Linked DNA regions of Notamacropus eugenii. The protein of the gene in region 2 interacts with the protein of the main gene of each other region in a pairwise test. Links are inferred from orthologs where the notes say so. Each region holds a gene or a part of one and is shown on either strand. Other genes may lie near its edges.

The links.
Region 1: the proteins of PAK1 (region 2) and RHOJ interact in binary tests that used the Homo sapiens proteins (3 or more experiments, as listed by UniProt). The link is inferred for Notamacropus eugenii from reciprocal best matches to the Homo sapiens genes PAK1 and RHOJ.

What each region holds. Positions count from the first base shown.
Region 1 is NC_092872.1:307,060,062-307,076,622, forward strand, and holds the start of RHOJ (rho-related GTP-binding protein RhoJ), read left to right. Parts: upstream 1-7,569; 5' UTR 7,570-8,051; coding exon 8,052-8,229; intron 8,230-16,561.
Region 2 is NC_092876.1:125,962,059-125,978,222, forward strand, and holds the start of PAK1 (serine/threonine-protein kinase PAK 1), read left to right. Parts: upstream 1-9,627; 5' UTR 9,628-9,741; exon of another isoform or gene 9,742-10,180; intron 10,181-16,164. UniProt on the Homo sapiens protein: Protein kinase involved in intracellular signaling pathways downstream of integrins and receptor-type kinases that plays an important role in cytoskeleton dynamics, in cell adhesion, migration, proliferation, apoptosis, mitosis, and in vesicle-mediated transport processes.

The DNA.
Region 1 (16,561 bases), on a different chromosome or scaffold from region 2:
TCTGTCAATTACCTCCTCCCAACTATATGCCCAATAAGGACACTCAGAAATGTAAACAGATTTTCGCAATGTTCAGAGGGAAAGGTTTCAGTCTTCCATGAGGCAATCCAGGATGAAATAATAGACATAGAGTTATCACCTTGGGGTTCTGTAGTCAAGAGTAGAAGAATTTTAGCAACACCTGTCCCAACACTCCTCAGGCCTGATCGGTTCACAGAACGGCATTTCTATAATAATCCTGGTCCCATTCCTTGTGGTAGCCACCTCTGCCTATGCTTCCATTTTCCTAGTGTCATGCAGTTTCATGTAACCTCCCCTTCTCCAATTCTCATTTGGAGCTGCACTTCACCCTAAACTGACTCATTGTCAGACTATTGCACTGTCTTTGAAAAGTCACCTAGAGATATGTGTCCAGTCATTGTTTAAATAATGGTGTCATTCTCTTTCTAAACTGTTCAATGCACTTATTTTACCTCATAAAAGTAATATCTGGCATGCATGGCTGCACCTTTAATATAAAACCTTGGGTCTCTTTTCTATGATTGGGTCTGTGAAAGAGCAACTCCTCTATGTTTTCCCTGTAGTTAAATATTTGCTGTCACAGAAAATCAGCTATATGCTTATGCATATTCATCTCAAACCCTGGGTATCTCTCTTAGTGACTACAGGTCTAAACTATATGCAAGACATGAACATGCCCCAGAAATGCATAGAAATCCATACCAGAAAATGTACATTAAAAGCAAATGAATATCATAAGTAAGTTTATATAATAACAGAACATATATAAACAACAATGGACATGCAAATAGAGGAAATATGATGTACAGCCAATGAGCAAACATAGGAGCAAACATATACAGTAATTACCACATGAATCTTTGAGTAGATACAATAATATACAAGGCAAATTTACATAAATAAACATTAATATTACAATTTGGCTGTTTGTGTAACACTTCTCCAGTTTCCCCTAGGTTAGATGGACCACAAATCAAATCAAATAGATGTATGTCTCTTAATACTTTCATCGACTAGTGCGCTCTCTCTCGCTCTCTCTCTCTCTCTCTCTCTCTCTCTCTCTGTGTCTCTCTCTCTCTCTCTTTCTCTCTCTCTCTCTCTCTCTCTCTCTCCCCCTCTCATTAGTCTTCTCCCTCAGTCATCAGAAGTAGGAATCTGGCAGTAGCTCCTACAAATGTCTGATACTGAGAACCCGTGGCATCAATAGTCCAAGACACTTTGAACTCTTATCATGATGTAACAGTTCACTTTGAACCATTAAAAAAAAAATTTAGCATGTATGGAGTGTTCAGATAGGACTAGCACCTCTGGTGTGAGGGCTTCCCAAGCCCCTTTCAGGGCTGCTTATTCACCTTTGGTACCCACCTGTCACCCAACTCATACCTGTGACTCCAAGAAGCTGTAACTTACACAGCAGTCACACCCCAGCAAAATCATCTTGGCAGATAATCTAAACCAAGTGGAGGGAAACTGATAGGTCTAAATCCCATTGATGAGTTAGGTGCATATCTACCCCAAACATATGAAGCCTCCCCAGCAGAATGAGTATATGAGAACAATTAGCTCCAATGACCATGAAGGCAGCTAAAGCAGGCATTATGAGGTGCTTAGAACTTGATCAGACATGGAAAATGCTAAGGTCATCCACTGCATCCCAGGCCATCACCAGTCCTCCTGACTTTGTCTTGCCACTGAATTTTGATGACTCTGGAAGAGAGAGTAAGGCTGATGATTTTGTGCAACTCAGCCTCACATCCAATTCATATAAAAGTTTTCATTCTGTGAGGTTTTTAGTTCTCTTGGAAAATGAAAAACAAGAAAAATATTGATACACATAAGGCTGCTGGATTCTGTGATGGTACAGTGGGTCTCTGGGGACTGTTTCTGTGATCATCCATTACAAAGTAATCTTCTGACATTGTTCCTAGAACATCCAGGAGTTGGAGAGATGGGTCTCATGAGTAACTCATTAGATGTATCTCCTATTCCACTCACTCAGCAAAAACACATCTGTCCCTTAGATAAAATTTGCCTCAAATAATTCTTCCATTTTCCTGGTAGTAGAGAATCATCACAGTCAAATATTTCAGTATCTATTTCTGAAGATGAAGAGTCAATGTTCTGATAATATTCACTGTCACTACTTGCTTCAGTTCTCTTGTAGGTCTCTGCAAAGGCTACATGAAAAGTCAAAGTGGGAAGGAAATTGATCACAGCTCGTGCTAATTTTGACCTAACAATTTACAGCAAGAAAACATAGGTGCTCCATCAGCCACCACCAAACTGTCCATATGTGGAACCATTGGTGACAACAAAGTGAAAAGTTTTGAATATGGTGGCTAAATTCACTTACCTTGGCAGTGTACTTTCTAGGGATGTACATATTGATAATGACGTTGAAGCACGTATTGCCACAGCTAGCACAGTGTTTGAGAGGCTATAAAGGAAAGGATGAGAAAAAAGAGGTATTAGACTGACTAACAAACTGAAGGTCTACAGAGCCGTTGTGCTGACCTCATTGTTATATGCTTGTGAAACATGGACAGTTTACCAGCACCATGCTAGGAAAATAAATTGCTTCCATGAGGTCCTTACTTGAACTAAAATGTCAAGCATTCAAACTCTGCTTCAGAGAGCACAACTCTGATGTGCTGGCCATGTTGTTTGAATGCAAAATATATGATTGCCAAAAAGACTATTTTATGGAGAACTCAGACAGGGCAAGGGTTCACATGGTGGTCAGAAGAAGTGATACAAGGACACTCTCAAGGTGTCTCTTAAGAACTTTGGAATTGTGTGACATGGGAGACACTGGCACAGGACCCTTTAGCATGGCATGCCCACATCAGAGAAGATGCTGTGCTCTATGAGCAAAGCAGAATTGAAACAGCTCAAAGGAAATTTAGAGTATCCACCCCAAATGTTCACACAGACTATTTGTATCCAATCTGTGATAAAGCATTCTGAGCTCATATTTGTCTGATCAGCCACAGCCAGACACATTGAAACTTGACTCTAGCATAGTGATGTCATTTTGATCCTCTTTGAGAATGAAGGACAACAAACAATTCTCTACAGTATACTGGTGGCATCATAAGTAAACTGCAGGTCATTCCAATCAGAACTAAAACAACAAAGATTTTTTCTGAGTCTAGACATATCAGAGCAAAGGTATTCAATTTTTTATTGAGTGCAGGTAATTTGATGTCACAGAAAAAATATATTTGAGTGAAATTTGACCCCCAGAAGGATGACTTAGGTCCAATTTGGGTTTCCCATTATATGTCTAAAAAAGAAGATTCACAGCTAAATTTGAGCTTCAGGCCTACTGTAGGGTACACCAATGGGTCTATGAAGTATTACAAGGAACACAATTGCTTTGGCCCAAATCTACTTCTCTGTGATACCCACCCTTTTGGTATCTAGAAATGGGCCAATATCACTGAGTCTGAACCCAGAGAAGCCCCTTGAAGAGAGAAATTGAAGAAGAATGTGAACATCTATGCCAGCTGTCTGACTTCTGTGTCAGACTTTTGAACGCAAGTGCAGAAGCAGAAGACAAAAGGGTAGTATGTCACCTCTAGTGGCATCCTATCAAAACTGGAAGCAACTATGAGGTGATTAGTATTCCAGGCAAAAATATATGATAGGTGTTTGGAGAGGTTCAAATGAAGCCAAAACTCAGAGAGAGAAGTCACTAAGGAAACTGATTCCTCTGAAACCCCAGAAAAACTGCAACTACAACTTCTCTCACAACCTAGGCAAGTATGTATAAAGTGAAACAGGTCAGACAGCCTCATCATTGTGTATGACATGAAAAAACAAATAATTTTGGAGGACAACTATGAGTACAAGATATAAGTCATAACAACTGTCCTCACTGTGCTAAGAGGAAAATAAAGCAGTCACCTGTTCCATGATATGTTAATAAGTGACCCTGAGTATTATTTCCAGTGTTGTTCAGTTCTTTCAGTCATGTCCAACTCTTCATGACCCCATTTGGGTTTTTCTTGGCAAAGATACTGGATTGGTTCTGCATTTCCTTCTCCATCTCATTTGACAGATGAGGAAACTGAGACCAACATGGTTAAGTGACTTGCTCCAGGTCACACAGTTAGTGAGTGTCTGAGGCCAGATTTGAACTCATGAAGATAAGTCTTCCTGACTTCAGGCCTGACACTCTATCTACTGTGCCACCTAGCTATCTTTGGGTAAAGGAAGTCTGACTAATTAGTTATTCTTCTGGTTTTTAAAGTAAGCTAGCTTAGTAACAATCATATTCCCTATCATTCTCTTAAAGAAAATTGCTATTATAGTGACTAAAGATTAACTCCAAAAGATTAATGTTGAAATGGTACACATAATTCAGTCTAAAGAGAACCTCATAAATCAGCATGCTGACCTTTTCAGGCCAAAATATTAACAAGTGTATAATGCTTTGCTATTTGTCATAGTTTCTTCCACAGTATGATACCAAAACCAGGAAAAAAAAAGAGTATTTATAGGTTCTAACAAGAACACATATACATATCTTTGTACATACATATATGCATACAAATGTATTTATAATTTATACATGAACCTAAAAGAAAATCTAAATTAAAAATTAAATTTCAAATAAAAGTACAGAATGATAAGATATCTGAACTCTTTTCTGAAGTCATCCTGTGAGTTCTATTTATTTTCCCACATGAGATCAAGCACATTAGCTGCATGTTGAGAGAAAGGAGGCATCATTTAGCAAACTCCAGCAGATCTCCACATGAACTACCAATTTGTTCAGGAGTAGTAGAGGCCCAGGTTCACCTGAAGAGAAGATTAAATCCTTATAATTTGATTTCCATCCTCACCACTTTACTGAAACAGCTTTCTCTAAGGCAGGTCTGTGCAACATACACCCCATGGGCTTCCACCAAAGTATTTCCATGGCCTACAAAAATGTAGAGGATGTCAAAGAAAATAAAGATATAACAAGTGCTTTGTCTGTGCCTTGCTTAACCCACCTTCCACTAGTCACTCCTGTGTCTGTCATGTAACATGGCAGGCGGGTTGCCACTGTGCACTTTCTCCTGTTTGTCATGTGATCCACAGTAACCAACCATCCTTAATCTGTCTCTTGTCTAAGAGAAGTGATTTCATGATAAATAAAAACCTTAATAAGTATAATTTATTGATATTAATTGAAATTTCCCTTTTTAATATGGTCTATTTGCAAAATAGTTCAATTATTAATTATACCTTTACTTGGAAAGTGAGCCACTACTAGTCTATTTTTAATTTTAGTCCCTACCTATTTCCAAGTTGTGCAGATGTGATCCAAGGTTACCAATGAATGATCTTTTAATTGCCGAATACAATTACCTTTTGTTAGTCCACATACTTTTTGATATCTCTGCAACATTACACTGAAGGATACTCCTTCCTGAGTTTTAATAATACTGCTCAATCCTGGCTCTTCATTGACCATGGCTGCTCAGTTTTCTTGGCTGGATCCTCATCCATATCTATTCTCTCTCTCTCTCTCTCTCTCTCTCTCTCTCTCTCTCTCTCTCTCTCTCTCTCTCTCTCTCTCTCTCTCTCTCTCTCTCTCTCCCTCTCCCTCTCCCTCTCTTTCTTTCTCTCCCTCCCTCCCTCTCTCTCCCTCGCTCTCCTTTTGTCTCTGTGTCTGTGTCTCTCCATGTCTATCTCTCTGAGTCTCTGTTCTCTCTCCCTCTCTGTCTCTATCTCTCTATCTCACTGGTTCCATGGATTCAAATATCATCTCTGTGCATCTCCAAAGTTGACATATCCTGCCCTAGTCTTTCTCCTGAGCTTCAGGCTCATATCACCAACTCTGTGTTGGAGTTGGTGGTGTGAGCTCTCCAATCTTCACCTGGATGTCCCATTGACATCTCAAACTCATTATTTTTTACCCCAAATTTATTCACCTCCTAAATTCCCTGTTCCTGGTAAGGGTACAAGTTTCATTCCAGATGTTGAGGTTAACAACCCTGGAGTCATCCTATTCTCTTTACTCATACCCACCTCCCCTCAATCATGCTGATACAACCTCCACAGCATTTCCACATTCATTCCCTTTTCTCCCTTTGAGTAACCACTACCCCAGTTCAAGCCCTCATCACCTCCCACAATATTCTCCTAACTGGTCTCCTTGCCTTCAGTTTCTTCTTTCTCTAATCCATCCTCCACATGGTTGACAAATTGACAATCCTAAAGCATGTATCACTCCCCTGCTCAAAAAGTTCCAGTGACTCCCTGTTTTTTCTAGACTCAAATACAAACTCTTGCGGCATTTAAAGCCCTTTACGATCTACTCTCAATCTGTCTTCAGAAAATGATTTCACACATTTTCCCCTCATGAACTCTCTGTTCCAGCAAAATCGGCCAACTTATGGTTCCCTAAATGAGACATTCCATCTTCTAAATGTGCATTACATTGACTGTTTCCCATGGTCAAAATGCTCTTCCTTCTCCTCTCTAGTCCTTGGTCCTTTCAATCAATTAACAGTTATTAAGTGCCTACTATGTGCCAGGCAAATGCTAGGTCCTATAAAGTCTTTCCTGATCCCTTTCCTCACCCCTAGTTGTTAAGATTGTATCCCACTGCCCCCCAAAATAACTTTATATTTATTTTGCACATGTTTTGCATTTGACTATCAATGTGTGCTGAAGGAATATAATCTCGTCGAGGTCAGGAAATGTTTCCTTTTCATTTTTCTCTTCCCTAACATTTAGCACGGCTCCTGCACTAAATAAATGTTTATTGTATCTAACTGTATCCAGAATCAATGTGCCAAAGCAAAATCTTAACATGTGAAATTTGAAATGATCCAAAACCCACTTTCCAAATGTGTTAAATGAGCATGACACACATGTTCATTATTCACTAATAAGGAGAAGTAAATGCCAACTACTTTTCAGATGAGTTCAGCTGAATGATCTATTTCATATGTGTGATTATAAAACTTTATATCTGTAAGATGTTTTAATTTCTAAAGCGAGTGTGGCAATTTATAAAGTTGGTTTACATACACACACACACACACACACACACACACACACACACACACACACACACACACACACACTACTGGAGGGGAAAATGAAGTTTTCCTTCAAAACATTTACATCCCTAGAGAGTTTTCTTCTTTATGGCAAGGGAGAGGAAAAGTTTAAGGTTTCTAAGTTGAGTGCCTAAAGAACTGCCCCTTTTTAACTTGCCAAGCTTTTCAGGATAAGTCAGTACTGGGGTGATGTCATCTCTTATCTCATGCTGGATGGTGTGGTTCTCTCACGCTTAATTAAGCTGATTCCCTTGTTTTTTGTATAGACGGCACTCCCCACCCTGCCTGTTCTCATCAGTTTCTTTTCAGCCAGCAGAGTGAGCAGTCCCCTTCCAGCAGTGGAAGAAAGAGGAAGTGTCTCAACTTCTGGCCACAGTGGGACCTCTAGTGTTGATTCTCTGTCCTGGCACAGTCCTCCGAAGTACAAACACACAGACTGCTCATTGTTTGGAACCCTTCACCAACCCACTCATCCTAATATGGAATGCAGCAGGAAACCCATGATTTCCTGACACTTAGCAAGCTGGAGAAAGAAAGGAAAAACTCCATTTGAAAAAAAAAATCCCGGCTTTCCTCCATGTTAGATGTGAAATGGAAAATGGGAAGGATTTAGAAGAAATCCCTGGTGTCTCCAGCCAAGTTGAAGAAAGAGAGGAAAGAGAGAAAGCTTCAGGCTTCTATCTTTCAAGATCACAGTAAACACCCAGATCTCTAGGAAAATGAGGGTGTCTTGATTCAAACGACAGGGGAAAGACAAGCTATTATATTTTTTTCTTTAAAAGTGGACATTCCCTTTCTTTCCCAGCATGGTAAAGTGAGCGGGCAAACAGCAGCAACCTGGAAAATGTTAATTCTGAGCCAAGAGTACCCAGCTAAGTGAGGGTAAACAAACCTGGGCGCTCACTCGGGTTTCTCTTCATGCGCTCCTAGAAGAACTTGGAGAATCAGGAATAGCCCCAGATAAGAATGAACTGCAAAGAGGAACAAGGGCAAAGTGGCTGCCCCAGCGAGGAGGACGTGAAAAAACCCCTAAAGTGTGTGGTGGTCGGAGATGGTGCAGTAGGGAAAACCTGCTTACTGATGAGTTACGCCAATGACGCCTTCCCGGAGGAGTACGTGCCTACCGTGTTTGACCACTACGCAGGTAAGGACAACTTTGGGGGACTTGCGGAAAATATACAGTGACCATCACTGTGCTCAAATAATCGCAAAGGGGGGAAAATGTTCTTTATTCAAACAAGTGTATTTCAGTCACTCTTCTGTTTAATAACTAACTGATGACAAGTTTTAAGGAAGAGGAGAAAGGAAACAGACAAATTCTCAAAGTAGAGTTAAAGAGACCAGGCTTACTTCTCGGATGGTTAGGAGAGTCAGGAAAGTTAGTAAGCCAGATTCTTTAGTCTGATGAACCAAGGAGCATTAGTAAATCGATTTATGTCACTTTATTTAAATTTTAAGCAACTATATATATATATGTATATGGAAAAATTAACCTAAATTCTCCTTTGAGTTCTTAGGCTGTAGCCATAAGTTTGAAGGGTCATTTGTTTTTAAATGGGATCCTTTAAAAACAACATTATTTCGGCAGCATTTCACACACCTACACCCCCCAAAAAAACTTTTGTCTTTTGCATTAAAACCTTCACCTAGCAACTTTTTTTCAAGTGATATATGTGCGAGTGTAAAAAACTTTGCAAACTTTAAACCATATTATAAATGATATCCATAATATACTGTATCATTCAAATGTGTCTGTGGATGTTATGCAAAAATTTATGAACACTATCACTGAATGAGCTTATGTTTTTATCAAAGCCAGCAGCAACCCAGTCATGTGAATTGGTGTATGATAAGAATAAAAAGGTTTTTATAGTTATCATCTAACTACCACATATCTTGAAGCAAAAGAAATTTTTTTTTATTAATAGTCACATGGCATATTAAAAAGAGCATTGCTTTTCAAGTCAGAGGACTTGTGTTCAACTCTTGCCCCTGCCCTTTATTACCAAAGTGACTTAAGCAAGTCATTTAACTCTGGAACCTAATTTCGCCTTCTGAGCAACTGTACTAGATGTCCCCAAAGTCCTTTCTAAATCTAAATCTATTGGTCCTACAATAACAGCCTAGAATATCCAATGGGAAAAAGCAGAGCAGATCAATTCAAAATAATGGACAATCTATTAAACACAAGATACTGTGTAGTGCATAAAAGAATTACAAAGCGATGTCAGGTGCAAGGTTGTATAATGGAAAGAGTACTGGATTTAGAACCGAAAGTCCTAGATTCTGATTTTGGTTCTGCCACTTACTTCCTGTGTGCCCTTGGCAAGGTGTTCAATTTCTGTAGGCCTCCAATCTCTCATCTAAATGCTCCAATCTCTAATCTAAAACTCCTTCCACTTCTAAATCTATATTCTGGAACTACTTGAGTCAAAAATGTCATTGTTTTAACTGATTTATGCTTTCTAGGATGTTCTGAAGTGAGGGTATGAACAGTCCATTGAATTAGAAATGACTACAATGTTATTTAAACTTTTACATTCAGACATTTACTAATTCTCATGATTTAGTATTCTGTAGCAGATCATAGGATCTAGGATTTGAGAACTTCGAGAAACCTTAGATCTCATTAGACCCTTCAAAAGCAGATTAGCAAAAAACCTTCAAACTGTATTCCTTAAGATGCTATTTCTGAACAATATTCTCATGATCACATCTTTTCGGAGATTTGGGATTTTGCAATAGGAAAAAATTTATCTATGTGCACCTTGGCTTTGGGTCAGGTTTAGTAAAAGGGAAATAGCCAACAGGAAACCTGAGTAATTGTTCAGTTTGCTCCATGACCAACTGAAGCCCTCTTTCCATAGGAAGTACCCTCTTTTCTAGAAATAAACAATCACCTAAGTCACCTCCTCCACCTCCATTTATGTGACTTATGGTCTGTATTATGCAGAAGATGAAAACAACACATTCCTCCCCAGTCCCATCTCCCCAAAGCCGCAGTGAAAATAACTGGCCACTCTCCAAGAGTACTCTTGCTATGTTTGCAAAAACCTAAAAGCAAATTTTGTTCATGTTTCCTCTAAGCCCTTTCTGAAAGCATAGTTACTGTGCATGACCCCCAAAAACACTTTAACAAGAATAGCATACAGAAAAGAGTAAGTACATTATCATCTTGATAATGTAAGTAATTTTAACAAATTGTGTTCCTAAGCCTTGCCATGTGTCTATAGAAAGTTACTCACACTCCAGACTCCACTAAACTGAGGCAAACTTCCTTTCTGCTGCAAAGAAGACCCCAAAATGATAAGAATTTTTTTCCGGAAAGCTACAAAATAAAGTAAGAACCCAGTCACCGAGGAAAGAGACTCCAGTCTTTATAAAAATCATATCTAAATGCCAAGCTACTATCCCAACCATATTTCAAAATAAACTGGAGCTGAGGCAAAAAAGAGAGAGATACTTTTGAGAAGTAGAAATGGGCAAAGAAATATAAGGTTACATTTCATTAGGATATAATGATCCTATGCCCTATCTATAGAATCTATAATGATTTGAAACTCTGTATCTGGAGTCAGAGAGACCTGAGTTCAAATCCAGACTCAGACACTTATTAGTTATGTGACCCTGGGCAAATCCACCTCCATCTGCCACAGTTTCCACATCTGTAAAACAGGAATGATAATAATAGCAACTATGAAGATAGAATAATATTTGAAAAGTGATTTATAAACTATAAAGTGGTATATAGATTAATTAATGATAATATTATTATGCATGGCATAGTCATATTAGGCTTTCTGAAGGGGTTTGGTTACTGTTCGTTTACACATCTACAAAGCATGTCCACCTCTAAAATGATATATAGCACCTAGCACAGCTTCTTACACATAACTTTTGTTGTTGTTTAGTTGTTTTCAGTAATGTCCAAATCTTTGTGACCTCTTTTGGGGTTTTCTTGGCAAAGATACTTGAGTGATTTGCCATATCCTTCTCCAGCTCATTTTACAGATAAGCAAATTGAGGCAAACAGGATGAAATGACCTCCCTAAGGTCATAGAACTAGTAAGTGTCACATACTATCCTTGAATTCAGGCTCTCATGACTCTTGGCCCAACACTCTATCCACTGTGCCACCTAGCTTCCCCGTTACACATAAGGCTCAATAAATATGTCTCCTTTAAAATACGTTAGACTTTCAAGCATATTTGTGAACGAATGGCACTAACTCAAGTAAAAAGAATTAACAAATCTAAAGTATAAGAGACAACTTCAAATCCCACCTCTGGCCACCTTGGACAAGCTATTTAACTTAATGTGTTAGTGACTTCATCCATAAAATGAGAGCTTGGACTAGATAACCCTAAGGTTCCTTCTCATTCTACAACTTTGATCTATGATGATGATGGGGAAGGAAATGCAGTGTATAGTTGTAAAGATAGTCTTATACTACCAAAAGCCCATGAGACACTGATTGCCAGTACTAGACTGTAAACTTCATGGCAGCAGAAATTTATTTCATCTTGGAAACTCAGCTACTCTTGCACAATATTAACTTCACTTTAAATTATAAAGCAAAATTCCATACAACATTTGGGAGTATGGAAAGATATTACAAAATCAGAAAACAATAGGGTGTCACCCAAAAGGATTTGAAGCCATTGCCGTAGGGATGAGAAAATAATTCCATGAATACTGTCGTTAAAATGTCATTATCCCCTGTATGCCAGAATAAAGATGTTTCTCCTACCACCACCCATATGTCTTCACTTAGAATGTGAACTGGAAGAGAGTGTGTGATTATGGAATGAAAGATGCTGAAGGAAATGGGCATAAGGTGGAACACATAGACTGTCAGTCATTAGAAAGATTTTATTAGTGGTGATTATTAGACCTGAAAAATGGGTGCATAGGGAAATAGGGAAGTCTATGGACTCTCCAATTCAGATGTCCTTTAAAAATGGATTTTGAAAGATATTTTAATTATGGAACTATCTGTTAGCAGTTGCATAACTTCCCAATGCCTCTTCTCATTCTGAGGCCAAAACTACCCCTTTCTCTGGGGAGCATTCTTATTTTCTAAGGAAACTATCTAAGTATAGGGTTTCTGTTTTTGTACTTGAGTCAGACATGAATTAATTCTTTGATTATAAGGTGGAGGTGGTTGAAGAAGCTGGCAGGCCAAGATATATAATCCATTCCATAAACCTGAAATAATATGACTAGAATTTATTAATTACCCATACACTACATAATACAAAGTAAAATAAATTTCCAAAGTAAATTTCTGATCCACACATTTCCCTCCCACTTTATCTAGTTAGACTTAGTGGAAACTTCCAGGTCACTCATAGAATGAATGAATACCAGAAAGATTCTTCTTTCCTTTCAATATCAATTTCTACCCACCTATGATCTGACTGAGAATGAATCTTTATGCAAAGTCATACGAGATATTTTACCTCATCACAGAATAATGTTAGACGTTTCAATGACTTGGAAACAATATTCACTCTCTGATTGCGATCAACTTATTGATTCTCTTTGATGAAATCATCTTCGGTTCAAATGTTCACTATATTCTGGGTCACTGAAAACTTCTAGTTTAGTGATAAAAAAAAATCACCAAGCAGTGCCACCCTTCTAAATCCTATTAGTCCTCAACTAAATTGAGATGTTGGCAGAGTGGAGTAGATGCTAGGTGTAGGGCTCCTCATCTTAAGGAGATCTCCAGCACCTTATTAACATTTGTTTAACTGAAAAGGGATTAAATGTTGTGTCACCCACAGTCTAAGTTAAGAGAAAATAGAATTCCTTTAAAATATTCCATAGGAGATATAAACAAGTTCATGTATGCTATGAAATAATTTGATTGCCAACAAATTTGTTCTGTCTTCATAGAATGAATCAGAATTTTAATTGGGTAATAAATAAAAGTTCTGCATAGATAACTAGAAATACCATACAAATAGCAATACTGAAGTAGGCTAAAAAAAAACAAGGCAAGAGAAATCTTATGGGCCTTGCCTGGTAATCCTTTCTCACTACATATCTTTATAAGGTTTCACCCATCAACCAGTTCATATGTTGTATAAATTTATAATTCTGCTTATGTTATGATGAAGTTGGAGAGATGGTACAAAAGTAATTTCAATAATTAATTATTTTAAATTTTACTTTTAAAAGGGAAAAGATAATATTACCTCTTTGTACCCATTACTGGTGCTACATCTGTCCCCACTAACTCCTGTGAACCTGTACTGCAGTGGAAAATCTACCAAATAATGTGACTCCACTGTGGATGAAGGCAAGCAAAGGGTAGCCTTAAGAATCCACTAGATTTCTACCAAGAGCAAACTAATTTCAAAGTCAAAACCTATTTGCCAAAGCACCAGACAATCTGAGCCTTTAGACAGAGTTAAAAGAAAAAAGAAACTCCTAGTTTTTATTTATGCAAAAATATTTTATTTATACAAAATAATTTTCTGACCCCATTGGGTTTCAAACTAGAGTAGGGCTGACAATGAAACTGAGTAGAAATGGACTGATGTGGAAACTGTTTTCCATATGGTCTCCAAGTGTGATCTCAATATACAGCTCTGACTGCAACTCTATGCACTTCCAAGGGGAGTATAAGCTGTCAATATGAACTTCAAAGCATTTTCTAGTTTTATCAAGGTCATATATCTTTTCACATACTACCCTAGCTTTGAATTTCTCGGTAGATATTTCACTATTGAAGAATCCTCAATCAATTAATGTCAGGCATGATACAAACCTCATCTGGTTTCATTTCTGTTTTGAGTTTAATTTTTGCTAGATTCTTTCAAGTAACCTAAATTCTTACCAACCAAAGTTCATATACTGCTTACTTAAATAGCTATATTAATTGATCTGCATTTTAAAATTGGTTTTACTTCAAAGTCTGCCTTTCTTCCACATTGACTTCTCTCCTTAAACATGCACTTGAGATTCTCTGTCATAAGTCATCTAACTTGGAAACTTACTGTAGGAACATACTTGACCAACTCAAATCTTACTCTCTCCATAATGTAACAGAACTTTTATATTTTAGATATTTAAGTCTAAAATTTGGCACATAGTTTGAGTGTAGTAATTCTGAGTAACAGTAGGGATGAATCCAATTGAGTGTCTGAACTAAGTTCAGCCTTAAAATGGTGAACTCTGGGAAGCAGACAGCCATCAGGCTACCTAAAGAGGGGCAAACTGGAAGACGGCAGAGTAGAAGTAGGGACCTACCTGAGCCCTCCACCCAAACCCTTCAAAATACCTGTAAAAATTACTCTAAATAAATTCTAGAGCAGCAGAAGCCACAAAATGACACAGTGAAACAGATTTCTAGCTCAAGACAATCTGGAAGGCCAATAGGAAGGACTTATTGCACTGGGCTTGGAGCAAAGCATAGCCCAGCATGGATCACACCAGCACAGACAGAACTGGAGCAGTCCTCAGGGCCACTGAATCACTGGCAGCTGTAGCAGTTTTCAGACTTCTCAACCCACAAACATGATAAATAGCTTCCAAGGTCACTGGGAAAGCTCTCTCACCTTGGTGAGAAAGGAACATGGTCCAGGTCCAGCCCCAGGGTGCAGCAGTGGCTGCTTCTAGAACTCTTGGCCTACAGATGGTGGGAGAATTGAGCAGCTGATCTGGGTCACAGTCCTAGGCGTTGGCCCTGGGGCAAGGAGGAGTGCTAGTCAGGCAGAGCTGGTGGCAGCTGTAGAGAGGCAATCCTACTCATGCTTCCATGGCAGAAAAAAGTGCTTGTGGTTGTTCACAGACCAGAGTATAGGCCAGGAGAGGAGTAACACCTTTCCTTTGATCATACCACTTTGGAGGAACTGAGAATTTACAGGTCCCTAGAGATATCTCTGAAAACAGCTGCACAAAACCCCTAAAACTTGGGGCAGTACATCCTCCATTTAACAAAGAGCTGAAAAGTCAAGTAGTTGGCTGGGAAAATGACCAAAAAAGGGGAAAATAAGACTGTAGAAGATTACTTTCTTGGTGAAAATGTATTTTCTTACAACAAGGAAGATCAAAGCATACAACCACAGGAAGACAACAAGGTCAAGGCTCTTACATCCAAAGCCTCAAAGAAAAATATGAAATAGTCTCAGGCCATGGAAGAGCTCAAAAAGAATTTTGAATATCAAGTAAGAGTAGAGGAAAAAGTGGGAAGAGAAATGAGAGTGAGGCAAGAAAATCATGAAAAACAAGTCAACAGCTTGCTAAAAGAGACCCAAAAAATGCTGAAGAAAATAACACCTTTAAAATAAGATTAACTCAAATGGCAAAATAGATCCAAGAAGCCAATGAGGAAAAGAGTGCCTTAAGCAGAATTAGTCAAATGAAAAAAGGAGGTTCAAAAGCTCACTGAAGAAAATAATTCCTTAAAAATTAGAATGGAGCAAATGGAAGCAAATGACTTCATGAGAAATCAAGAAATTATAAAACAGAACCAAAAGAATGAAAAAATGGACGACAATGTGAAATATCTCATTGGAAAAAAAACTGACAGAATAATAGATCTAGGAGAGATAATTTTAAAATTATTGGTCTACCTGAAAGCCATGATCAACAAAAATTTCAAAAAATTATCAAGGAAAACTGCCCTGATATTCTACAACCAGAGGGTGAAATAGAAATGAAAAGAATTCACTAATCACCTCCTGAAAGGGATTCCAAAAGAAAAACTCCTAGGAATACTATTGCCAAATTCCAGAGCTTCTAGGTCAAGTAGAAAATATTACGAGCAACCAGAAAGAAGCAATTCAAGTACTGTGGAAGCACAATCAGGATAACACAAGATTTATCAGCTTCTACACTAAGGGATCGGAGGGTATGGAATATGATATTCCAGAGGTCAAAGGAGCTAGGATTAAAACCAAGAATCACTTACCCAGCAAAACTGAATATAATACTTCAGGGGGGAAAATGGAATTTCAAGGAAATAGAGGACTTCCAAGCATTCTTGTGAAAAGAATAGAAAATTGGACTTTTAAATACAAGAATCAAGAGAAACATGAAAAGGTAAACAGGAAAGAGAAGATATAAGGGTCATAGACAGAGGGCACAGGGTGAGCTGAGTATAAGGGAGGATACCTAATAAATAAAATTCAGTGTTGAGAAGAACGTACTGGGAGAAAGAAAAAGGGAGAGGTAGACCGTAGCAAGTCATCTCACATAAAAGAGGCAAGAAAGAGTAGGTAAGAGGAAATGATTGAGCCTTACTCACATTGAATTTGGCATAAGGAGGGAATAACACCCTTTCATTTGGGTATGGAAATATATCTTACCCTACAGGAAGACAGAGAGGAAGGGAATAGGAAAGGGAGGATGATAGAAGGGATGGCAGATTGGGGGAAAGGATAATCAGAAACAAACACTATTGTGGAGGGACAGGTCAAGGGAGAGGAGAGAATAAATTGAGAGCATTACAGGATAGAGGGAAA
Region 2 (16,164 bases):
GTATGCACACACACACACACACACACACACACACACATATATATGTACATATATATACATACACACATACACATATATACATACACATGTGTATGTGTATACACATATCTCAAGGAAGTCACTGACAAAAAGAATCTCCATATGCACTGACATATTTATAATAGCACTTTTTGTAATAGCAAAGACCTAGAAACAAAGTCAATGATCATTTACTGGAAAATGGCTAAACAAATTGTGGTGCATGCATGTAAATGGGATATGACTGAACTATAAGAAATTACTAACATGATGAATTCTGCGAAGTATGGAAAGGTTAATATGAGCTGATATAAAGTGAAGTAAGCAGTAAAATGTGAATAATAACCCTGTCAATCTCACATGCTTATAAGAAATGTGCTTTGTAAACCTATAATCCCTAAGTTATCCTGTCTTCAAGGTCATTTGCTTTGGCTTGTAGAGAATACATGTGTTCTTTTAATATTATTACCTTTTGCTTCTCTTCTACCAAATTGTCCTCTACTTCAGAGCTTTTGTACTTGTTATTCTCTTTCAGAGCTTTTCTTTTTTTGAGAGAAGGTTCATTTTGTATTTATTTTTTCCCCTATTCTGTTATTTGGGGTTTTAAATTCTGAATTGAGAGTTCTGATAGCTGATCTAAATTCATGTTTTAAAATTTTTATTTCTCTTTTGACCCATTCTAGAATATTTTGCTGCTATTCTATCATCTCCGAAGAATAAGCAGGATTTTCTCTTCCATTGTAATTTTGTTTCTATTCCTTATGATATAATACTTGTTTGTGGTGTTTTAGACTCTTCTTTTAAAAACAAACCAACTAATCTCATTCTTTCTATTTTTAGGTTCCTCTCCTCTCTGTTGGTTTCTCTCCCAGTAAACTAGATTTTTATTTAGGTTTTCTCTCTTAAACTTCTATATTTCTACCTTTCTCATATATTCCCTATAACTTACCTCTAGTTTTCTTCCTCACTCTTTGACCTTTCTTCTTTCCACTGTTACATAATTCTTCAAAGTAGACTGGCTAGGTGTCCTCAGTCACCTTACACTGGGGAATATGGATTCAATTGGCCCAAGTTTTTTCTCAGAGTGAACGCTGGAGAAGAGAACTAGTCCCAGCTGGATTTCTAATACACTTTTCTTCCAGCTTCAAGATCTTTCCCTGTTAGCCTGTGACTACATAGCCTATGTTTTCACATTCTGCCTTTATTTTCTGCCCTGTCTGTATCTTCTGTACTACTCCATACTCTCACCCAATAAACTCTCCTTTTTCTTGGAGTGGCTAGGCAGAATCAGTGTGTTCTAGCTCTTTTGGAATGACAGGAAAAGAGGGGAGGGGTTCAGGCTGTCATTGCAATGTGGGAAGGGCAGCTAGGTGGTGCAGTGGATAGAGCACCAGTGCAGGAGTCAGGAGTACCTGAGTTTAAATCTCATCTCAGACACTTGACACTCACTAGCTGTGTGACCTTGGGCAAGTCACTTAACCCCAATTGCCTCATCCTGGGTAATTTCCAGTCATCCTGATGAATATTTGGTCACTGGATTCAGATGGCTCTGGAGGAGAAATGAGGCTGGTGACCTGCACAGCCCCCCTCACTCAAGACAAAGTCAAGTGCAAGTCATATCAATATTTCTCTGATGGCATGGTCTTCTTTGGCAACAAAAGACGAACACAAATGCAGTGTGGGAAACAGATAAGGGTCCTTACTGCTAGACCCTGAATTGGAAGCCTACAAATTTGCTTGTATTAACTGATCCCAGCCTGTAGGAGAGGTTGGAAATAAGAACGAGACCTTTAAATAGTAAAGCTCTCCAGCGTTATTTCATGAGATTTTTACTTTATACAGGTTGCTATCCACTTACCTTGTAGATTCAGTTGTAATTACTCTACATTTAGTGCATAATTCTTTTTTTAGAGGTTGCTGGCTTGCTGGGATTAAGGAAAAGTCATCACTCTGCCATCTTGCTTGGTAACATGATCTCTTAAATTTGTATGCCCCTCTAAAATAGAGGAGAGCTATGTTGTTTGGGAGTGAGGGTGGGAGTGACTGGTCATACATGGAAGGATCAGATGACCTAGGGTACATGAGACTGAATGACAGCTTTAAAAAAACAACAAACTGGCTCCATCTTCCACGTGACAGCACTTGAGACATTTGAGAACACTGATCCCGACCATCCTAATTCTTCACTTGGCTACACACTTCAGTTCCTTCTATTGTTCCTCATGGAGTATGACTTTGTAGCTCTTGTGTGGTGGGAGTATGGGATTTCAGGTACACTTGGGGACAACCACAGAAGCTCAACCACTTTCCACTGTTGGCTCATTCCATCATTAATTCTCTCTCTGAGTTCAAAGGCAGTCTAATAGGCAGACTTTAGAACATTCTCAGAAATTACCAAATTTGCAGAAGCTCTTTCTCTAACTGACCTGTCCCTCACCCCAGAGTAAAGCTGAGGAAATCTCTTGTTCCATAGTATAGTTTCCCCTCTTTCCATTTTAGATCATAAACTTATTAAAAAACTATTGTTAATGACCATGTAAATTATTAGCAGTATCAAGTAACATAAAGTACAAATTAACATTCAAACAAGGAATTTAGAAGACTAATATGTGATAGGTCTCATAGCCAAGGTCATTTGTTTTCCCCTAACTACAAATCCTAGTCATTTTGAGAAGGTTTCCAAAGAAAGGGATTGAGATCTAAATTCTGGGTGAAAATTTGCCTCAGTGTTGTGCTCCAGCAAAGCAGGGACAGAAAGGAGCTGTTCACTGGACTTTACTCTGACTACCAAACTACCACAATGGTCACAACTGCTTGTTTAGACCAAGTCTCAGCTTCAGTTCACTCTTACTACATGCTTGTTATCTTTGTGTTTGCTCTCTGGTCTGAACACTCTCACTTCCTTGCCTCCAATGCCTGTCTGTTACCCCCAGACTTGGGCAAAGTCCCTTCCTCAAGGCCACTGGAATCCCCAAACAAAATGAAGATTCCTGAAAGTCTGTGGAATAGTGTAGCCCAAGGATTCTCTATACCAGAAAGGTCCATCAAAGTGCCTGGCATCCTGGGCAAGCCCTCTGGTCTGTGTAAATCTGGGACTTACATCCTTGTTTTCTCTCAGACCCACGATAGAATGGATGGGAGATCACTTTGTAAAGTAGATAGCACTGGAGGGCTGTTTTTCTCAGTTGTTCATCACTGCATTGTATATGCACGGAGTTCACTTGACTCTGCTTCTCTAAGTAGGGGAAAGAACCCTGCAGTCAGGAGACCTGTGTTAAAATCCCATTTCCAACGCGGACCAACCATTTGTCCTATCTCACCACCAGGTGGCAGCAAATCAAGAGTTAATGCCTTGGGAGCTGGGGCCATTAACCCCTTCCTACCTGTTATCAACTATGGACCTGGATGTTCCATGGGGAAAGAAATGAGGCAAGAACAGGAAGACCTAACAGAGGTTAGGAAACACTAAGCCTCAGTCAAAAAGGGATGAGCCTGAAGTCAGAGAGTTGGTCAGTTGAAATGGAAGTCAGGCAATAGCAAACGCAGCTTGTAACCTTGAAAACAGTTGCTCACCTTTTTATATCACTTTTAAAGTTTGCAAAGTTTCTTTCTTACAATAACCTTGTTAAGTTATGAAGGAAAGAGTACTGGCTTTGAAGTCAGAAGACCTAGGTTCAAACCCAACCTTTAAAGTGTATGCTGCATCTATTTTAAAAAAAGTCCATCCATACCAGTATGTAGTTACAGAAATTTATTTTTATTAATGTGTTTTGTTTTTATATCACATTTATTTCTGGAAGTGTTTCCCTTCACTCTTATACCCAGAGAGCCCACCCTTATTTCTAGATTTTTTGCAAAGCATTTGAGAAAGTTTCTTGTGTTATCTTTTTGGGGAAAATGGAGAAATGTGGGCAAAATGGTATTTAGAATTGAAGATTAGTTTAGTATATTGGGTTAAATCAAAGAAGATAAAATTTAATTGGAATTAGTGTAAAGTCTTACACTTGGGTTCCAAAAATTCACATGGTATACTCCAGATTGATTGAGTGACTGGAATCCAGGAATAGGCATTTATGGTTTGATTTAAGCCTCCTAGAAGGTGCCACAGGGATCTGTAATTGAGCCCATTTTTATGAATGACTTTAATAAAGGCATAAAATCATATCCTCATCCCATTTGTTGATACAACAAAGGTGAGAGAAATAGCTTACACACTACTCAGAGAGTCAGGATCCAAAAAAATTTTGACAGTCTACTTACTGTCACTGTCATGCAAGGCACTGACCAAATCTAGTAAGACAAGATTTAATAGGAATAAATATAAAGCCCTTCTTTTGGACCCCGAAAATCTATTTTACAAGCATGAGTTGGGAGGCAGGGGATGAAACACACTTGGCTTGACAGCAGTTTGTCTGATCCAGAAATTTTATTGGACTTCAATGAGGGTGAACACTGTGATATAGCAGATGAGAAAGCTAATGGCATTTTGGCTACATTAAGGGAGATGTAGGAAGGTGATTAATAGTCTCATTACACTGCTCTCAGAGCTAACAAAAAACTGAGAACTCATCCAATCTAATATCCTCATTTCACAGAGAAACAGGGAAAATGACTTGCCTAAGGTCATCCAGTATATTAGTGATGGACCCTAGATGAAGATCCAGGGCCCTGGGATGAACCCTGACCCCTCTCCAGAACTCTTTCCCTTGCCTTACCCTGCTTTGCTTCTCCTAATATTACCAATTAAACTGCCTCAGTTACATACTTTCCTTCTAACTCAATACACTCATGCATAATTCCACAGAATTTATTAACTGATGCTGAGTGGAGTAAACAGAACCAGGAGAATACTCTACATGGTAACAGCAATGTTTTGACATGATCAACTATAACAGGCTTAAATCTTCTCAGCAATGCAAGGATGCAAGACAATTCCAAAAGACTCATGATGGAAAATGCCATCCACAACCCAGAGAAAGAGCTATGAAGTCTGAATGAAGATCAAAGCAGACTGTTATTCTTTTTTTATTTTTTTCTCATGGTTTTTCCCTTGGGTTCTAATTCTTCTTTACAACATGACTGATGTGGAAATATATTTAATATGATTGTACATGTATGGCCTATATAAGATTGCATCCCATCTTGGGGAGGGGGTGAGGAAGGAGAGAGAGAAAAGTTAAAACTTAAAATCTTATAAAAGTGAATGTTGAAAACGAAAAATAAATAAATTATAAAGATTAGTTCTCTCCCTAATGCAACACAGCAATGAGAGGTTGAATTTGAAAGGACAACAAAAAATTCACTGACACTTTGGTGTCCTATTCTGGTGTTCAAGAGGCCTGACTTGGGAATCTGGAAGCTTGGTTTTTGGTACAATACAACACACATTAAGTGAGTACCTGTTATATGCAAGGAAGGCAGCTGGAGTCTAGTCCTTAGTGAATGGGAAACTGGCTTTTGGAGTCAGGAAGATCTGATCAGTGATCTAGGCAATTCTGTAAGCCTTCAGAGCTGTGTGAATGGTCAAGGGAGTATCTGCTTCTGGGGGGCTCTATATAGCAATAAAATTACAGGTCCAGTTCTTATCTGAGCTACATGCAAGGCCCTGTGCTAGGTATTGGGGAAATAAAGATGTGTGGGACATAGGTCTTGTTTGCAATCTGATATAGCTATGATAAGAATTAGGAATTCAAAAAGGACCCACATGGACAAAAATATTTATAGCAGCTCTTTTTGTGGTGGCAAAGAATCAGAAATTCAGGGGATGCCCATCAATTGGAGAAAGGCTGAACAAGATGTGGTATATGAATGTAATGGAGTACTATTGTGCTATAAGAAATGATGAGTAGGTGGACTTCAGAAAATCCTGGGAAGACTTATGTGAACTGATGCTGAGTGAAGTGAGCAGAACCAGGAGGACATTGTACAAAGTAACGGTTACACTGTGTGACGACCAGCTTTGACAGACTTAACCCTTCTTAGCAATGTAAGGATCTAAGACAACTCCAAAAGACACAGGAGAGAAAATGTTACCCACATCCAGAGAAAGAACTAGGGAGTCTGAATGCAGATTGAAGCATAATATTTGCTCTCTTTTTTTTGTTTCTTCTTTCTTGTGGCTCCTCCCATTGGTTCTAATTCTTCTTTACAACATGATTAATGTGAAAATATGAAATGTATAAGTAGAGCCTATATCATATGGCATGCCATCTTGTGGTGGGAGGAAGGGAAAGAAATTTAGAACTCAAAATCTTATGGAAGTGAATATTGAAAACTAAAAATAAATAAATAAACAAATAAGCAAATAAATATTTTTTAAAAAGAATTTTAAAAAATTAGAAATTCACTAATGCTGAGGGTTTATAGGGCAGCTGGGTGGTGCATGGGGCCTGGAAGGGGTCAGGACCACTTGATTCAAATCCTGGCCTCAGACACACTTACTAGCTGTGTGACCCTGGGCAAGTCACTTAACCCTTATTTACCTCACTTTCCTCATCTGTAAAATAGCTGGAGAAGGAAATGATAAAGCACTCCAGCATCTTTTCCAGGAAAACCCCAAACAGAGTCATGAAGAGTGGGACACAACTGAAATGACTGAACAAGTGCCAAGGGGGGTTTTCAATCCCTTCGTGAGCCTGTGGATGATGCTACAGGTGAATGAGATTTTTAGAAATATCATCAAGTACTGGGGCTCCAAACACTAATGCCTGGAGAAGCTATTCTAGCTCTTTCAGTTCTTACTTAGCCTGGATGCTCCCCACTGGCAATTTCTCATTTGGTCTCCATACCCAGAACACATGAGAAGCTGGAGGTGTCCCTGACAGGTGACCACCTCGGTAAGTAACTTGGAGCATTCTTGCCTCCCTGAGCCTCAGTGTCCCCATCTCTAATATGGGACAACAACCTTGATCTTGAAGTCAAAAGATCTGAGTTCAAGTGGAGTCCTGACACTGACAATTGCTAGTTATGCGATCTTGAGTCAATCAGTTTCCCTGCTGAACCTCAATTCCTCAGGAATTGGACTAGGTCAATGATTCCCAATCTTTTTAACTTTGAGAAATTTAATGGAAATCCCTCCAACATGATAATAATTGTAACTTTGATTCATCGAATCAGAAAATATACAATACACAAAGAGCTACAATGAATTCAATGACATGTTTCAGTGAATTTGTATTTTATTAATCACAACAGTATCTACATATGTTTGAGAGATGGCAATAGATACAAGTGTGAGTCATTGTTTGTTCAATCTAAAGAAGGTCTGCTTGTTTATTAATTATCCTTATCAAACTTGCAGAGGAAACAAAGCTAGTGGGCAATATAATAGTTAATAAAAATCAGGTGGTGCAGTGGGTAGAGCACTGGGCCTCAAGACAGGAAGTTCTGAGTTCAAATTCAGCTACAAATACTAGACTAGGGCAAGTCTCTTAATCTCTACCAGCCTCAGTTTTCTCATCTGTGAAAGGGGGAATGATAATAATGGTGTTAATCAGAATTAGGTAGATGTTCTTTTGCCCTTTTCAGAGATTTGAAATTTGGTTGAATTGAAGAATGCTTCAGTCCTAGGTCTGGTTCCACCTTCAGTGGACCCCTTTGCAATTACCCTGTGGTTTCCAAGGTTCTGTAGCCAGGACTTGGGGAAACAAGTGGCCCTTTCAGCTCTCAGTTCTGTAATTTGTAGAACAGGGGAATACTTACACTATCTTCCTCACAAGATAATTGAGGAAAACAGTTTATAAATCTGAAATCCTACAGAAACATTCCTACGTTGATGATGATGATGATGGTATATGTGTGAGTATGGGTAGAAAACTTCCAGCATAGATATTCTCTCCATGCAGATGAGCAATTCGGGGTGCCCGATACTTCCACTCTCTCAGGGGAAGTAATACTAACATAATACATATTTATTTGTTTTCTGATTCTTCATGACCCAGTTCAGGTCTTGGCAAAGATACTGGAGTAGTGTTGCCTTCTCCAGCTATTTTACAGATGAGGAACTGAGGCAAAAAAAGGTTAAGTGACTTGCTTAGGGTTACACGGCTAATAAGTTTCTGAGGGGAGATTTGAAGTCAAGTCTGTAGGCCCAGGGGCTCTTTCCACTGTACCGCCTAGCTGCCCAATAATAGCATAATGAAATATGTATTTCTCTTCTTGATCTAAAGGAAGGCTAGCAGAATCTTGGGTGATCTCCCTGAGAAATCATAGAAGGCCACAGACAAGAGTTAGACAGGACCAGAAGACATGGATGCCTTGCCACTTGTACCTTTGGAGGGAGTACCCCACCACAGATTCGTGGTGTGCTGGGACATCTTTAATAACTGGCTCTGTCCAAAAGATGCACAGGACTCACTTTTAAGCTTAATTTGCATTATTCGCATTTTCTCCATCACTTTTAAAAGTTTCAACAACTGAAAAATAAATCAACACCTGATTTCTAGCATTTGCCATTTTTCACTCTGAAAATTTAACAATCAGCTTTACCTCCAGCTTGTGCCAGCATGGAGGTCTTTCTCCATATCAGCTCTGCATTGATATCCCGCCCGCACTGTACCCTGATGGCCTTAGGCCCTCTTGCTCCACCTTCCTTTACCATATAAAGAGAGCCAAACACACAATGGCTGAGACCCATGTGAAATCTTGTCATACTTAGCTCGTTAAATACAAAATCTGCCATTAGTTAATTAACTCAATAAACTTTTATTAAGCACCTACTATGCGCCAGACACTGTGCTAAGTGCTGGGGATATAAAGAGGCAAAAGACAGTTTCTGCCCCCAAGGAATTTACAGTCTAATGAGGGGGACAACATGCAAACAAATATATAGGAAGCAAGCGACACACAGAATAAACAGGAAATATTTACGAGAAGGAAAGCACTGCTATTAGGAGGGGTTAGGGAAAGATACAACAAACACTATTATTACTGTATTTTGCCACTAATAAGCAATTCCCATTTCTACAGGCTTTAAGGTTTACAAAAATCTGTCGAGGTGGTGAGTGGACGCATTATCAGTCCCATTTTGTAGGTGAGGAAACTGCAGCACAGAGAGAAATGACTTGCCCAAGGTCACAGAGTCAGACAGAGTGGGCTTGTTTGCTCTCTCCTGCCTCCAAGGCCGGTCCTCTTTCCATTACATACACTTTAGGGGCTCTTCCACTGTCCGAAGAAGCACAGATCTGAGGGTGGGTGGCATCCACAGAGAGGAGCCCACAGGTCCCCAGGGTCCACCAGAGGAAGAGGTCAGGTTTGCAGAAGAGAGGCAGGGAGAGGGAGGGATGCCTGGGCAGTGACGTCACGTGCCAGCCGGGAGATTCCCCTGTCTCTTGCGTCACCCTCACATTACGTCACCCCAAGCAAGCCCTCTCCCTTCCCCCTACTCCCTGTGGGCTTCGCTCACGTGTGTCTGTCCAGTTTCCCTCCTCCCCTCGGCCCCTCCTCCTCCTTGACTTAGTCCACTTACTTCAGGGGAGAAATTGGGGGAAGGGAGGCTCAGTCCTGACGCCCGCAGCCTCCAATGGGAGAGGCTGGGAGTTCTGGGGACGGGAGGCGGCGGCCGGTGGAGATGGAAGGAGGGGTGTGAGAGGGAGGGGAGGGGAGGGGAGAGGAGGAGGAGGAGGAGGAGGAGGAGGAGAAGGACTGGGCTCTGGAGCAGCTGACAATAGAGACGGCTAGAGAGAGGAGGAGGGGGAGGACGGGCAGCGAAAGAGGCGGCAGAAGGTAGGGGCTGCATTGTGGACTCACCCCCTCTCCCTCCCTCCCGCCTGGGACCCCGTGGGGAGAAGGCAGCCGAGAAAGGCGGGCGGGGGAGAAGAAGGGGCCGTCCGGGCAGCTGGGGAGAGAGAGCGAGAAGCGGCGGAGGGGCGGGCAAGAGGGAGAGAGAGAAGGTGGGAGGGAGAGAGAGGAGGAGAGGAGAGAGGGAGTGTAGGGGAAGCCAGGGGGAAGAAGGGAGGCAGAGAGACCGAGAGCGAGGGAGCGATCGAGGCAGAGAGGGAGGGATCCAGGGAGCGAGGGAGCGATCGAGGCAGAGAGGGAGCGATCCAGGCAGAGAGGGAGCGATCCAGGGAGCGAGGGAGCGGTCACGCAGAGAGGAGGAAAGGACAGAAGCCGGGCTTGCTGCGGGAGCGGCCCCAGCAGCTGGAGGAGCGAGTCTGAGAAGGTGAGTCCCGCGGCAGCGATGGGCGTGCTCGGCTCGGGGGTTCAGCTTTGTGCCGGCCGCCACTTGAAGCCCAGGGTGGATTCGGGTGGGTGCGGGGAGCCGACGTCCTGGGCACGGGGTGTGTGTGGGGACTGTCCTGCCCCTTTCCTTGGAGGAGGACCCCCACTCTGCTCCGGGCTGCTCTCCCTTTCCCCGCCGTCCTCACCCGCAGCTCGGCAGCTCGGTGACTGGCGGGGGTGGGGGAGTCTTCTCCATCTCCGGACAAGTTCCCCCCAGGCTGAGGATGGGACCGGAGCTGGGGGAGGGGCGCCAGGTGAGTTGGCTGCGGACTAGACGGTGGGGATGGGGTGGTGGAGTGAAGCGGAGTTCGGACTGAAGGTAGAAAGTTTGGAGCATGGGCGGGTCGGGGGCAGGCTCGGCGGGGCAGCCACCCTTAACCCAGGTTCCCGGATCGGCTGCCCTGGGCTGGCCCAACAAAGACCGTCTGGCCCCTTGGGGTCCTTGCCCGGCGGCTAGCTCCGGCTGGGACGGAGTGTGGAGCCTGCGGGGGAGGGGCAGCAAAGCCCCGTGGGGGGCTGGGTCTGCCCTGGGGGTTGGGGAGCATCTTTTTGCTGGCTGCAGGGAGGGGGTGGGGGCGGGGAGTCGGGCGCAGGTACAGGTTTGGCGACTTCCTCCAACTTTGCTTTTCTTGAGTGACAGACTCTGCGATTCTGCGAGGTTTAATCCAATACGTTTGGACTCCCCTGAGTATTATCCATCAGTCAGTCAGCGAACAGTTACTAAATCCTTACTTTGTGCCAGGTGCTGTGCTAAGCGCTGAGGACAGAAAAAGAAGCAAAAGACAGCTGCTGCCCTCAGGGAACTCACAGTTTGATGGGGGAGACAAGAAGCAAATAAATGTGAACAAACAAGCGATAAGTAGGAAATCATCAGAAGAGAGGGGGGACTGGAATTAAGAGGGGCTGGCCAAGGTTTCCTGCAGAGGATGGGATTTTAGTTTGGACTGAAAAGAAGCCAGGAGAGCCCAGGGAAGCATGCTTTTTGCCGAAGTAACCCGGCTCAGGTAGGCCCAGGAGTCATCTCCTGGGGTAAGAGCGGAAAGGGGCCCCAGAACTAGCCTCCTCCCTTCACCGAGGTGGAAACTGTGGCCCATGGAGGTTCTAAGAAAGAAAGCACTGCTACCAAGTGGCTTAACTGGAATTAGAATCCAGACCCTCAGAGGCCAAACTCCACATCTTTTTGAGGGCTCCTCTTTGTCTTACAAAACCTAATCTAGTTTTTGCTTCAGTAAATATTTATTAAGTACTATATACGAAGTCCTGTATCAAGCCTTAGGATTCCCAGGGAGGGAAAACGTTCACTTTTCTGTCATCCCTTAAAATTGACTAAGAGCTTTCCTCACAAAAACCCTGTGATATGGAAACTAAGTTGTATTATCTCCATTTTACAGTTGAAGAAACTGAGGTGCAAACAGGTAAAAGTTATTTGTCTAGGGACTGGAATCCAGGTCTTCTGACCAGTGCCCTTTTCACTGTGCCTTGCAGATCCTAGAAGTGACAGGGTCCTTACCCTCAAGGAGAGGCAGCTTGGAGTCGGGGGATGTGGTGCTGAAGTTGGAGTCAGGAAGACCTGGATTCAGATCTACCTTCCTGTCTGTGTGATTATGAAGAAGTCATCTCACCTCTTTGAGCCTCATTTTTCTCATCTGTAAAATGGGACAATTTTAACCTGTCAAACCTACTTTACAGGGGATCAAGTGAAATAATGTAGGTGAAGGGCTTCAATTAAAATGTTATACAAATGGCAGTTATAAAATCTCATCTGCTAGGGGAGATACACCATGCATAGAATAATTCAAGCTATAAAGAAAGGACAAATCAGTCCACAAGTGAGCACCTACTATGTGCCAGGCACTGTGAATACAAAGACAAAAGCCATCCCTCCCCCCAAAGCAAAGGCCTTGCCTTCAAGGAGCTTAAATTTCTGCCAGGAGAAACAACCTGTATGTTTAAGTATACACACGTATATGTGTATGTATGTATGTATGTGTATATGTATACATATGTGTGTATATACATGTGTGTATATATGTGTATGTATATATACATACACATATATATGCATACACATAAACTATAAAGTTAGGAGAGGAAGAAGGCACTAAGAGCCTTTGGCAAGTATTTGCCAGGTGTTTAGTGATTCCAGGATGGGTGAGTAGGCAGAACACTCCAGGAATGGGGGAGAGCAGGTGCAAAGGCAGGAGATGGGATGTCATGAATAGGCCGTAACTGGCAAGCACCAGGAAAGGTGGGTTGGAGTCAGATTGTGAAGGACTCTAAATGCTAAACAGAGCATTTTTTTCTGGAAGCAATAGAGAGCACCTGGAAGTTTAAGTAGGGAAGTGCCTGGGGTCAGATCTGTGCTTTAAGAATACCATTTTGGCATCTGTGCAGAAGATGAGTTGGAGAGGGGAGAGACCAGTAAGGAGACCATTGTAATAATTTAGGAATGAGGTGATTAAGGCAATGAATTATGGTGGCAGCCATGTTAGTAAAGGGAAGGGGATGAATTCAAGAGATTGTGGAGGTAGCATCTCTAAGGGGACATTTAGGTGGCCCAGTGGATAGAGTTTGGAACCTGGAGTCAGGAAGACTCCTCTTGAAGAGTTCAAATTTGACTTACTAGCTATATGACCTTGGGCTACTCACTTAATCCTGTGTGCCTCAGTTTCCTTATTGGTTAAATGAGCTAAAGAAGAAAATGGCAAACCAGTCCAGTAATTCTGTCAAGAAAACCCCAAATGGGGTCACTAAGAGTCAGACAGGACTGAGCAACAACAACCACTAGCGTAAGACTGGCAGCTGATTAGATAGACATTGGTTGGGGGGGGAATGTGGGGAGCAGGAAGGGGAGGAAAGGCAGATTGGGAAGTTAAAGGTGAGTCCGGGGTTGCAAAGTTGGGTTTCTGTGGAAGGATAGCTGGGGTTCAAGGGCAGAGAGGAGGAGGAAGGCAATGAGTTCTCATTCGAGTATGTTGAATTTGAAATACTAATGAGACATCCAGTTCAAAAAGTCCACTAGACAGTGGATGATGTAGACCGGAGTTCAGGAGAGATTAATGCTGGATATGTAGATTTGGGAGTCCTTTGCATAGACATAATAGTTGAAGCATGACAGCTTTTAGTGCATCTTTTTGCCTGCCTTCATGTCCTGCTCTTAGGGTGGGTGCACCCCAGAGCAAGGGTGTAGTGGATAGAGTACTGGGCCTTGAATGAGGGGAACCAGAGTTCAAATGTGGCCTTTTACTAACTGAGTGACCCTGGGCCAGTCAACTTCTGTTTCAGTTTCCTCAACAGTAAAACAGGAATAATATATAAAGAAACCTAAATATGTATAAATCACTTAGAGTGGCAGACACAGTATATACTTAATAAATGCTTGTTTCCTTTGTTCCTAAGTTCTGTGTTGGGCCCTATTCTGAGTACTTTCCTTCCTATCCTGCCCTCAGGGGTGTGTGTGTGTCTGTGTCTGTGTGTGTGTGTCTGTGTGTGTGTCTGTGTGTATCTGTGTGGCTCTGTGTCTGTGTCTATGTTCATGAGCTAGTATAGGTGGTCATTAAGAGATGGTAATGAAATCCATGGGAATTGAAATAGTATAGAGGGGAAAAGAGGGCTGGAACAGACCCAATGGCCAAAGACCACCTTGGGGACACCTACCTTTGAGGCGGAACTGGAAAGAGGCTGAAAGAGGGGTCTAGGAGAAATCCCTTTCAGCTAGAAGGGGAAGGGTGGCAATCTGGGAAGGCTTCTTTTTGGAAGAGGCAACTGCCCCAGATCTTGAAGGGTTTGTTCTTGGCTAAGTTGGGGGAAATGGGACAGGGTGGGATGAGATTCAGGAACAGCAATTTCCCGAGGAGGCTACCTCACCCCTACTGAAGAACAGTCAATTAAATGTTTTTTGAATTGTGAAAAACATCAAGATGCTAAGAACTCAGGCTTTAATCTCAACTCTGCTCTATACACTGTCCTTATGACCCTTAGAGCCTCAGTCTCCTTCTCTGTAGAAAAAAGATCGCAATCTCCCCCCCTCTCCCCTTTCCCAAAGTTTCTCTTCTAGGCCTGGTGGGAGGATGGAATGAGATAATAGCTGGGTGTGGTCCCTGGGGTAGTGAAGTATGCAACACAGCTATCAAAAAGCTGAGGGAGGAGAGTAATCAGAATTATTTGATTTTCCTACTAAAAGGCAGCGTTCTTTCTGATACCCTCAGCTTGCATATTTTAACACTAAATATCACAGGGTAACTTTATGGTACAATATTAACACATAGGGAGATAGTCTGTATGGCTATGTGGTTATCGGATGTCTAGGTAGAGTGACTGGCTTCTATTTTTGTTTAACTGTCTGAAGAGCTACTTTCTTTCCTTTTTTCTCTGGAGGCAATGGGGGTTAAATGACTTGCCCAGGATCGCACAGCTATCAATGTCAGATTTTGGATTTGAACTCAGGTCCTCCTGATTCCAGGGCTGATGATCTATCTACTTCTACACCTAGCTGTGCCCCTTGTTTTATTTCTCGAACAGAGAGATGATGGTGCTGTAGTGGCAGGAGCAGGAAATCTAGCATGAGAAGACCTGGGTTTGAATCCTGACTGTCACTTATTGTTTGTATGACTTTGGTCGAGTCACTTTCTGTCTCTGGGCCTCAGTTTCCTCCCTTGTAAAATAAGGAGGATGAGCCTGATGATCCCTGAGATTTCTTCCAGACCAGATTCCAAGCGTCCTATGATAGCAAAGGAAAGAGTTTCTATTGTGGTCGTGTACACTAATTCAAAGTTAAGTTAACCAGTCAATGAATATTTATTTAATGTTAGAAGTAGGTGCTTATCTACTGCTTGCTACTCTCTGGGGATGCAATTAAGAAAAAAGAAGTCCCTACCCGCATGGAGTTTACAATTTAATGGATGAGACACTAGCAAACAAATGTACATGGAACCATGTATAACTGAGGGCAGGCACTAGAATTAAGAGGAGTTGGGAGAGGATTCCAGTAAAGGAAGGAAGCCAGGGAGGTCATTTGGTAGAGTGGAGGAGGGAGAGCATTCCAAGCACAAGAGATGGATGGAAGGTCTTGATTGGAGAACAGTCAGGAGGCCAGTATCTCTGGATCTGAGTACATGGCAGGGAGTAGGAGACTGGAAAGGTAGAAGGGGGCTAGATTATGAATGCCTTTGAGTGATAGGTGGAGGATTTTGTGTTTGATCCTGAAGGCAATAGGGAGTTGAGAGAGTTTATTGAATAGAAGTTGACTTTATTTTAGGAAGATCACAAAAGATGTGGCTGAATGGAGGATGGATTGCAGTGGAGAGACCCTGGAGGCAGTTAGATCCACCAGCAGGCTTTTGTAATAGTCCAGGTGTAAGGTGTTGAGGACCTACCTGCACCTGAGTCGGGACAGGGTCAGAGGACAGATGGGGGCAGATGTTGTTAAGATGAAATCAACAGGCCTTGGCAACAGCTTGGATATTGAGAAGATAGTGAGGAATTTAGAATGACTCCTAGGTTGTGAGCCTGTGAGACTTATAGGTTGGTGTTATCTTCATGTATTTTTCACTTGTATAATGCCTATTGTTTCTTGGATAGAGTGTAAACTCCTTGAGGGCAGTATCTGTTTCATTTCTGTCTTTGTATCTCCATTGTGTAACACACTCTAGGCACTTAAAAAATGCTTATTGGTTGATTGATACAGGATTTGAACTCAGGTTTCCTGACTCCGAATTTTACTAGGGAAAATTGCTATTCAAATACCCTAGAGAGGAACTATGCTTTGAGATCGTGCAACCCAGTTTTGAAAGCCTAGATAAGCACCCACGCTTTTGTGTTTGAGCCTCTGAGCCCAAAGCTACCTCCGCTTCTCCTGTGGTTTTTGCCTCTTTAGTGCTTCTGATGTTAATGCCATACAAGGACCTACTTGACTCCACACTGGGG